Linked DNA regions of Caenorhabditis elegans. The protein of the gene in region 1 binds, or shares a complex with, the protein of each later gene. Each region holds a gene or a part of one and is shown in the gene's direction. Other genes may lie near its edges.

Region 1 (4,843 bases):
CTTGTGCGGAAAGGTATTTTATTCGAAATTTTGGAAATTTGGATTTGATTTTTTGGAAATTTGGAATTTGGAAATGATTTGGAAATGAGAATAATTTTCAGAAAAAGAAAGGCGGTAGCAAGTTGGAAAACTCGGAAGCAAGCACAAAAAGTGGAAAAACTGGAAAAAGTGATAAGGGCGAAAGCTCACCGACTCCAGCATCAAAAGATGCCCCACCAGCTCCTGCTGCTCCAAATGCAAAACCTACAATGGCGGGTAAGTATTTGACAGCATTCAATCATGTCTATTCGATAAATGTTGAAATCAATAAACTCGTAACTTTCAGCCACGCACGATCCAAATTACCAAACACTTGCTGGACTCAACGACAATGTTTTCGAAAAGAAAGATGGCGGAGCAGGAGGTGTAGGACCAGCTCCACCAGCAAATGCAAAACCCGGAATGGCAGCAACCCACGACCCGAACTATCAAACATTGGCTGGATTGAATAACAACGTATTTGGAAAGAAGGATGGTGCTGCTCCAGCTGCAGGTGGTGGAGGTCCAGCTGCTCCAGCTGATCAGAATGCAAAAGCAGCTACTCACGATCCGAATTATCAGACATTGGCTGGATTGAATAATAATGTTTTTGATAAGAAGGATGGTGGAGGTGCTCCTGCTGCAACACCTGGTGGACCAAAAGCTCCTGCAAATATCGGTGCAAAAGCAGCAACACATGATCCAAACTACCAAACGCTGGCTGGTCTTAATAACAATGTTTTTGATAAAAAGGATGGTGGAGGAGCTGGTGGAGCACCTGCCGGAGGAAAGAAACCACTTCAGCCAATGAACAAAGTTGCATTTTTTTTTTCAAGATTTTTGATTTTAATTTTTGAATTCTAGAATCAAAAAGCTGCTACATTGGATCCAAATTATCAGACATTGGCAGCAGTTGGCGGAGATGTTTTTGGAGCTGATAAGAAGGTTGGAGGAGCTGGTGCACCTGGAGGAAAGAAACCAATTCAACCGAATAATAAGGTAGATTTTTAATTTTCTTGCAATATTGTATTATTTATTGTTTTTAGGGTCAAAAGGCAGCAACCATGGATCCAAACTACCAGACATTGGCAGTTGTTGGCGGAGATGTGTTCGGAGCTGACAAGAAGAAAAAATAGAAGATCAATTACTTGTACATTTCCAATAAATACGTCAGATCATTCACTTTTTCCAGAAGACAATTTATTTTGATAAATAATTAATTTATTGGATATCTGATTGCAAAACTGTGCTGTAATTGTACTGTATTGGTGATGTACGTAATTCATTTTTGATTTCTCAAGTGACTTTATTATTAGGTTAACTGCAGAAATCAACGGATTGATAATTGAAAGTAGTTAGAGTATCCGTTTGATGTGTCGATAAAAAAGGATATTGGAATGTTCTATAGATCATATTGGAATAATTGTCTTACAATCAGAATTGCTCACTTACATGAGTTAGTTCGCTCAATAAAAACAACTTTAAAAAAGTTTTTTTGCTCTCTTCATTGCTCAATCGTCGCTATTACCCATGGTTTGTCTAACCGGAAAACAGGAATAAAATGTGTGTGTCTTCTTCTTTTTCTTTTTTCTCTTCCACCCTCTTCCCTTATTTCTCCCGACTCCATCTGTGTCTTCTTTTCGGAAAATGGACCGCCCGTGACTCCGCCCTCTCGGGAGCACCTACCTTCAGAGGAAGAGGTCGCTTTGTCATTTTATTTCATATCCCCCTTCAAGAGAAAATGTATCTATTCGCACTTCTTTGTGGTGTATTGTTAGTTTTTAAACAGGGTAAGTTTTCTACATTTTTTGTTGTTGCCAGAGGAAAAGGGGGAGAAGAGTTTCGATATAGAAGATTTAGAAAATTAAATTTGGAATCAAACTCTCGCGCGGAGGGGATATTATTAGTTAACAATGAGCTGTAACGAAGAAAGGCAGCTCTAAGAATCCAAGAGACTCACTGAATTCCCAAAAAGTTTTTCATTTTACTTTCTGATTGACCATCATGCTTGTCGATGGAACTCCACCGACATCTTCCTCGATTTTAGTTTTGCCTACTATTTTGTGTCACCTTTTTGATGGTGAGTAATTTGGAGGTTTATGTAATAGTCAGCACTTTGAATATGTTTGACCACAGGGTACCTTTCTTATTTAAACTCTGAAAACGTTTCCCTTCCAGTGTCAAAATACCGGAGGCGCGGTCCACCCGCCTTTCAGTCGCCTTCCTCGCGACATTCCGAGAACGGACATTTTTTGTTACATTTTTAAAATGTATGTTGAACTTTTGTAATTTATTTCAGTGCTTTTCTTCTAATTTATTTTTCATCTATCAAATTTTTTGGAGGTGTTCTCTGGGCGAGAGGAGAGTCAGTGCGTCGTGACGTCATATATTCTGTAGTGCAATTTCATGTAGAAAAAGACCTCATTCATGTGAAACCTCATATAAAACTGTTATTCGAAAAATCCTTGAAAAAACTCATAGTTTATAGCTTATAGCTTATAGCTTATAGCTTATAGTGACAGACAATTATTCATACTTTCATATCCTGTCTATAAGAATTTTTGTCAAAGTCCGAAACATATTTGCTCCCGTGTTTTTATTTTATGTCTCTAAAATAGATGACACAAAATCGGAAGACCTCTCCAGCTAAACGATGATGAATGATTCAAAATTTATTGGTGAAAAGGGGCAAAAAACAAAAATAAGACGAATATAAAGAAATGATACCTGTGAGAGTCAGTAGTCTATGAAATTCCTGAATACTTGTTTTGTACTGGGAAATTTCGAATCGCAGAAATGCTAGCCACTAAACATCTGTGGGATAATCCAAAAAGTTTGTTCTATGTGAAAATAAAAACAATTCCAATTGGATTATTACTAGCCAGTGTTTTAATTCGGACAGGTAGTCATATAAAAACTAGTATTTTGGCGTTCAATATATTCTTAAAGCAGATATTTCACAGAGCAGAACCCTCAAAAAGACCGCAAAGTGTGTACAATTAAATAGAAAAATCACAAAAATATAACGCAAATCATAAATAATCTGTTGAAAACCAAAAAAAAACGACAGCCACTAGGGCGAGTGAAGAGAAATTGTATTTTTTATGCGTTGCAATTATTGCTACTTAGAAATTGTAGAAGTTGGACATGCAAGAACATTTTGAATTTCTCAAAAATCTTAATTTGTTTCCAATTCGGCAATTTGCTGATATTTTGGCCAAACTTCGAAACATTCGAACAAGTATTTTATTTGGATCTTTAGTCGGCTCCAATCCATAAAAATAGTTTAATTATAGTTCTAAGTGCATTCTACTCTCTAGATGGTCTATAAATTAGTTTTCAGCATGTTCACGTGGTGCTCCCCCAACAATTCAACAACCATCAATGTCTAGTGCAGTTGCTCTTCTTGGACAAGATGTTGATTTTACGTGTATCGTAAATGATCTTGGAAGTCATATGGTTTGTTATATTCTTTCTCCCATCTAAAGAACATCGTCTCACACGAAAACCGATCCATTATAGGTAGCATTTGTCAAAGCGGACTCACCACCACGGCTGCTCTCGTTCGACGAAAAAGTGTTTCGACGACGCAACAAGTACGAATTGAAGCCGCGAATCGGAGATCTACACAATGAATGGGTCCTCACTATTAAAAATGTTCAGGTTCGGAGATTTAAGTGTCGGTTTTAGAAAATTCTCATAAATTTCAGGAATCAGATCGTGGAAATTATTCTTGTCAAATCAACACTGAACCAATTACACTTTCAACCGGAGAACTTGATGTGAAAGGTATTCCATTTTGCAGAATTAATCGTTCTTAAAAACAAAAATTCGAAATTTAAATTGAAATCACTATTACTACTACTCATTCTATTCATCCATTCCTTACTAAATCCTAATCCGTTTGCTTTCCCAACCCGAGATAGTGCGAAGCAAGTGTGAAAATAGATTTGTATGCAAATGAGACTCCGTTTCCCCCTTCTTCACACAATTTTTTGTGCTCTTACTTTAGATATTTTTTGAGATAAAAAATGTTTTGTTCGAATCGGGGAACTTCTAAATTTTTAACATATTACGTTGAAGAACGGTCACACTTTTTTGCCGACCTTATTCTAAACTGACATTAGCCTTTATTCTATAAGGGAGAAGCTAAGAACATATGGAGAGGGACACCTTTTTAATTATTGGCTCCTAAGGGAAACGGAAGTCACAAAGGGTAATTAAAGGGTGGTGACAAGTATTGAAGACAAGCTTCTGAATACAATAGGGGGAACCTCCAAATGGAAAGACATTGGCGGATACCTTAATGTTTAACCAAAACATTTTAGGTAATTGCCTTGAAGGAAGTTTGAACTTGAATTACCTTTAGAAACAATGGATTTATTATAATGGATGTTTCGAAATGTTTGGTTTTTAATTATGAACCTTGTTTCTGTGAAGAGTTTTAGTGTTTTTCTGCTTAACATGGAGGGAGGGGGAGAAGTACACATGAAATTTGATACTTTTTCGAAATGTAGAAATATGTAAATAATAAAAAGATTTCAATAACTATCTGACTGCACAGCATCTATGATGGGGATTTGAGTGAAAACTTGAATATAAAGCATACTACTGCATCTTTAATTGTGTTGCACCAAATAGAGGTATGTCCGATAATTGAACATTTTTTTAACGGTTTTTGATTACATATTTTGAGTTTCAAATGTGTCCATTGATAACAAAATTTAATAAATCAACTTTTCATGTCTTTCAGTTCCTCCAGTCGTATCTCGAAGTACACCAGCTGCAGTAGAAGTTCGTGAAGGGAACAACGTGAGTCTGACGT
Region 2 (5,094 bases), on another chromosome or scaffold:
AAAATAATAAAAATTGATAAATAAAAGTTAAAATAATGCAAGCGCGCTCCATCGAACATCGAACAATTGGCGGTAATTCAAATAGGAATTTGATGCAATTCGAGATTTTTTCAATTTTCAAAAAATCATATAAAATTTAGAAAATTTTTTGAAGTTTTTTACTATGATATTCGGTCATTGTGGTACCCATAGGCATGTTTTAAAGCAATTTCCCCACTGGCGCTACTCCACCTTTAATGGAAAAAATCAGCAGAAAAAACCGCGCCGCACGGTTGCAAAATTACGCCTCGCCTCTATTTCTGTGCGACGCCGATTTTTTTTTTGCAAAATTTACAGATCGATTGATTGATTTTCTATAAAATTTCACCAAAATTGTCGAAAAAAAATTCGGGATTTTTTTGAAATCCAACGCATACAAAGACATAGTTTCGATATTTTTTTTTAGTTTTTCAGCTATATTGATAGATTTTTTAAATTTTTTTGTTGTGATTTTTAATTTAAAACACAATTTGACAAATTTGCCGACATCTGGCAATTTTTTTGGATTTTTTGTAACGAAAATTTGTGTTTTAAATGATTAAAAAAACGCAAAATTCAAATTTTGCGGCTATTTTCTGTCATGTACAATTATTTAGGAATGTTTAATAATATTGAAATTGTAAAAGTTTAGAATTAAATTTCAATTGAATGGTCTAATAAAATGTCTAAATTCATTTCCTCCTAACCGTTCCTCCTAATCCCCTCATGAGTCTTACAGCACCTTCCGCCGAGACCACCACCGCGTCATCAGTGATCCTCAACGGTGCATCATCAAAGCCACGTGGATTCACGGACGCCGTACGGTTAGCCGATATTTTGGCGCGAAATCAACAACAACCAGTGTGACGTCATCAACTCTGCAGAGCCCCACCTCTCCTCATACAAAAGTACATATCTAGGCATTTATATTTATTAATTGAAATTTTGGTTTTTTTTTTTTGAAAATTCTGTTTTTTGATCATTTTTCTTTGTATTCTCTTTTCCTGTTGCTTTTTGAATTTTTTTTTCCCAAATCTCTCTCTCTCTCTGTTTTATTGTTAACTTGTGCATTTTTCAAAAAACGAATCCGATGCTTCTCATTAAATACAACGACCCCCCCCCCCCCCTCTACTCCATTGATCCAAAAAACGATTATCGCTTTATCACTGGTACTTTGCTTGTTTTTTATCTTTTTTTTGAATTTCTATGTCTTTTTTCCCTCTCTCTATACCACTTTGTGCGAGAAAATGTGAAAATTTTCCGAGTATTTAATTCGAAAATCTGGATTTTTTGGTTTAAAAATTATTGGAAAAACTAAATTCTTTTAATTTTGAATTACCCATATTCGGAGGATTTTCATGTTACTCAGACGCGGCTAAATTTTTTTGGCAATTTTTGCGTCCGGTCTCGACACGACAAAGAGTACTGTAATCTCAAAAGTATTGCTTTGGATTTTTTAAATCGATTTTTCAACGTTTTTCTCATATTTTAGTTTTAAATTTATTTAAAAATTTAAATATATTCAAAAAACCCATAAATTCTTTAACAAACGCGGCCATGAAATTTTGAAACTACAGTACTCTTTAAAGGCGCATACACGCGAAAACTGCCAATATTTTTCGCGTCTGTGTAATAGACAGTAATATTATCATTTCCTCTTCTTTGTTCATCCAATGCTTTGAATTATTTGGTATTTATTTTTGTGATTTTCGTGTTTTCTTTTTCCGAAAAAAAATGAGCCGTCTAAATGTTGGTATACATTAAAACAAGAGAAGATTAATTAATTATTTGTTTTCACTGTCTGCGTCTCTCCTCTCTCTCTCTCACCAACACACAACTCCCGGATGTCCCGCCCAATTCTCGCGCACTCTGCTGCAGACATACAGACCACGCCCACTTTTTGGGACATTTGGACACCGCCGACGGAGGTTGACTTTTTTAAAAATGCGAAGGTTTTCGAACATTTGTGTGATATTATTCTCGTTTCTTTATGCGACAGGTTTGTTTTTTTTCTCGGATTTTTAACGTGGCCGCCGAAAAATTGGTGGCTTTTAAAATGGAATTTTTAGGCCACAAGTTCCCTGGATTTTAGAAAACTCGGCCACCGATTTTCGCGCGGTTTTCAAACCCTGAAGTGCAATCGTGCTCCAGCGCTAATGGGGTCTCGTTAGGTATTGGCGGCAAAACTGTAAATTCAGAATTTTCAGCGTTTTTTGTGTCAAAATTTTTTTTTAACATGTTTTTAACATGTTTAACATGTAACATGTTAAATCAATTGGAAATTTAAAAAAAAAACACTAGAAACAACGAAAAATTCTAGAAAATTTTTTGAATTTCCGGTTTTGCCGTCAAATACCTAACGAGACCTATTGGTGTTGGAGCGCGATTGCACATTTTGATTTCAAAAACCCTCACAGAGCGAGTGTACAACGTTCGAATAAATGCTCCTTATTCATTTTATAAGCGTGGCCGAGTTTTCTGATTTTGCAGCCACGTAGTAGAAACCGCTCTCACAAGGAGTTCTGGCCTTCCTCATTGCACTTTTCGCGCCCCATTGACAAGTCGGACAACGCGTGGGAAAGTCGTGTACTCCACACTGACAAATACATTTAGTTTTACAAGCGAGCCGCGACGCGACACGCAACGCGCCGGAAATCTACATCAGATATGGCCGAGCAAAAATGGCCTAGTTCGGCAAACTCTTCCATTTCAATTTAGGAGGGAAGCCAGAAATCCGTTCGCTCTGTGCCCTTATTGTGGTTTTTATTTGTCGTTGGAGCGCGATTGCACACTTCGATTTCGAAAAATCGAAGTTTTATTGGAAAATGATCAGCTTTTTACATTTTTGAATTCAAAAATAAACAAGAAATATATAAATTCAAACGAAATTCAGTTTACAAGTGGATCACAACCACTTGACTTGAATCCTCGCATTACCTCTTCTCAACTAATCCCATTCTCAATCCATCTGCCCCTTGGAGCTCGACGGAGCCCTCCCTCAAAGTTTACTTATATAGAATAAACTACCAGCTCGCCGAGCTTAAGGGCTCCTTTTCCGAAACGTGTCAATTATGCAGGCTTTAGCCTCCCGAAACGAGGCGTGTAAAAAGGGCAGGTGGTGGTGGCCGAAAACTTTTTGTTTTAGTTTTAGTTGTAGCAAATCGAGCGGAAAGAGGAAGAGCCACTTTGTTGTTTTCACGTGGCTCCGAGAGTCCCCCATTTCTACCTGAGAGACATCTCTCCGGCTGGGATATATCGTGGGGCCTGAACAAGTGGCAAAAATCTCATAAAAATTGAGAAGATAACTCTTTTTTTTGGGTAAAATTGCAAAAAAAAAATCACATTGAACTTCATTGCAAGCTATGTCATTTTCGAACTATCCTGTTGAATAGGCTCCTAAAAAAATTAGCAGCAAAGGAGCAATTTGAACTTTTAAAAAAATTTTTCAGATTTTCAAAAAAAAACATTTTTTTAAATTTTTTCTAAAACTTTGGCAAATGATTAACAATGTTAATATTAACCATTTTAACACTTTCAGACTTAATCTTAATCTTTTCGGTGTTTTCTGTGCTTAAAAATATAATTTTTAACTACTTGCCAGTAATTTTTTTGTAATTTTCTGAAAAATTTCAAAAACATTTTAAATATAGAATTTTTGAAATTTCCACTAAAACTGTGTTTTTTTCGATTTTAATGTTGTTATTGCAGTGTTTTATTATAATGAAAAAATTTTTAAACGTTAAAAAAAGTAGTTTTTTTTTGAAAAATCTGAAACAAAAGTTTCTTCAGATTTTCAAAAAAAAAATTCTAATTTTTTCTGAATCTTTTGCAAATCATTAACAATGCCAATATTGGCATTACAAAATTTTAATTTTTTTCGCTATTATTCAAGCCAAAAATCTGGCAGCCCAACTGAAAAATTGTCCATCTAGGATAAGCCACATAAAAAAACCGAAAATAAATTAGTATTGTGTTTAAAAATATTTAAAAAATCAAAAATAGACATGTTTAGTGACTTGCTGAAGTGCCTAAACAATTTCGAACAATACAACATTTTTTGAAATTTTCAAAAAATGATTAAAAAGTTCAAAATACCTAAAAAAAATCATTGACAATCCCAGTTTCTAGGGGTTTCGCACCTTTAAAAAAATCTGAAAGTTCGAAAACTTTCAAAAAATCCTCCACAGAACATTTATCATTTTCAAATTGATTCTCTCTATTTCTCTCTTCATCTGGGAGGTCAGGTTAATGGCCTCATTTCGGGGCGGCAAAACAACCTGAAAGCCCTTTGAAATATGACAAAATTTGAGCAGACATCCCAAGAAACTTACCACACGCGGGGGGGGACTTAGCAAGGATGGTGTCATGTTGTGTTGTACAGAGGGGAGGTCATAAGGTCTAGTACTTTTTAAATCGAGTTTTAGAGAAGTAGAATATATTTTAGAGGCACTTACAATAGTTCAACATAGCCGAATATCATAATAAAAAATTCCAAAAAGTTTCAGGAAAAGTTTTGGTAAATTGCCAAAATATCTCAAAATCTGGTTTTTTTTCAATAATTTCGAGCATGTTTTAAAGAAATCGGAAAAAAAATGTTTTTTTTTGGATTGACTTCTATGATTGGTCTGAAAACTAATTTCCCCCCCCCCCCCCAATTTTTGAATACACACGTGGTGTCAGAGGGTCTCATTTCGGCTTGATCTACTTAGATCTACAAAAAATGCGGGAGAACAGACGCAGACTTTTCAACTGATTTCGCATGGTTAAAAACGTGCTGACGTCACATTTTTTTGGGCAAAAAGTTCCCCGCACTTTTTGTAGATGAAACCGCAATGAGAAAGCCTGACACCACGTGAATACAGACAAAAAAATTGAAATCATCAAAATTACCAAATATCATAGCGGAAAAATTTCAAAAAAAATTCTAAATTTTATATGATTTTTCGAAAATTAGAAAAATTTGCCAAAGTTAAAAAAAAATTGAAAAAAAAGTTTTTGCCATTTTTTGGAAGTTGTCGATATAAAAATAATGTTTTCTTCCGAATTTTATATTCTCTTTACCTATATTTAAATATT

Evidence for each region.
Region 2: the proteins of rig-5 (region 1) and zig-8 are in contact, whole or in part, in a crystal structure (PDB 6ON9), measured with the Caenorhabditis elegans proteins. Residues at the interface, in NP_001251129.1 of Caenorhabditis elegans: Ser113, His114, Met115, Val116, Ala117, Ser123, Pro124, Pro125, Arg126, Leu127, Phe130, Asp131, Lys133, Phe135, Arg136, Gln172, Asn174, Glu176, Ile178, Leu180; in NP_499714.1 of Caenorhabditis elegans: Gln32, Arg34, Glu66, Ile67, Ala68, Thr70, Asp74, Gly75, Ala76, Leu77, Ala80, Gly81, Arg83, Phe85, Arg87, Asp88, Leu117, Glu119, Ile120, Asn121, Asn125, Val127.

What each region holds. Positions count from the first base shown.
Region 1 is NC_003279.8:9,571,114-9,575,956, reverse strand, and holds the start of rig-5 (Ig-like domain-containing protein), read left to right. Parts: upstream 1-1,579; coding exon 1,580-1,808; intron 1,809-2,022; coding exon of another isoform or gene 2,023-2,098; intron 2,099-3,361; coding exon 3,362-3,477; intron 3,478-3,540; coding exon 3,541-3,681; intron 3,682-3,728; coding exon 3,729-3,807; intron 3,808-3,862; exon of another isoform or gene 3,863-4,036; intron 4,037-4,771; coding exon 4,772-4,843. Other genes in the region: C36F7.5 (DUF236 domain-containing protein), read left to right, coding at 1-13, 102-255, 326-834, 883-1,017, 1,065-1,154.
Region 2 is NC_003281.10:13,117,897-13,122,990, forward strand, and holds the start of zig-8 (Zwei Ig domain protein zig-8), read left to right. Parts: upstream 1-1,923; 5' UTR 1,924-1,962; coding exon 1,963-2,017; intron 2,018-5,094. Other genes in the region: dhhc-8 (Palmitoyltransferase), read left to right, coding at 750-793. UniProt on the Caenorhabditis elegans protein: Together with zig-5, required postembryonically to maintain the position of ASI and ASH head neuron cell bodies and ventral nerve cord axons of PVQ, PVP and HSN neurons by preventing their displacement that could occur during body growth and movement.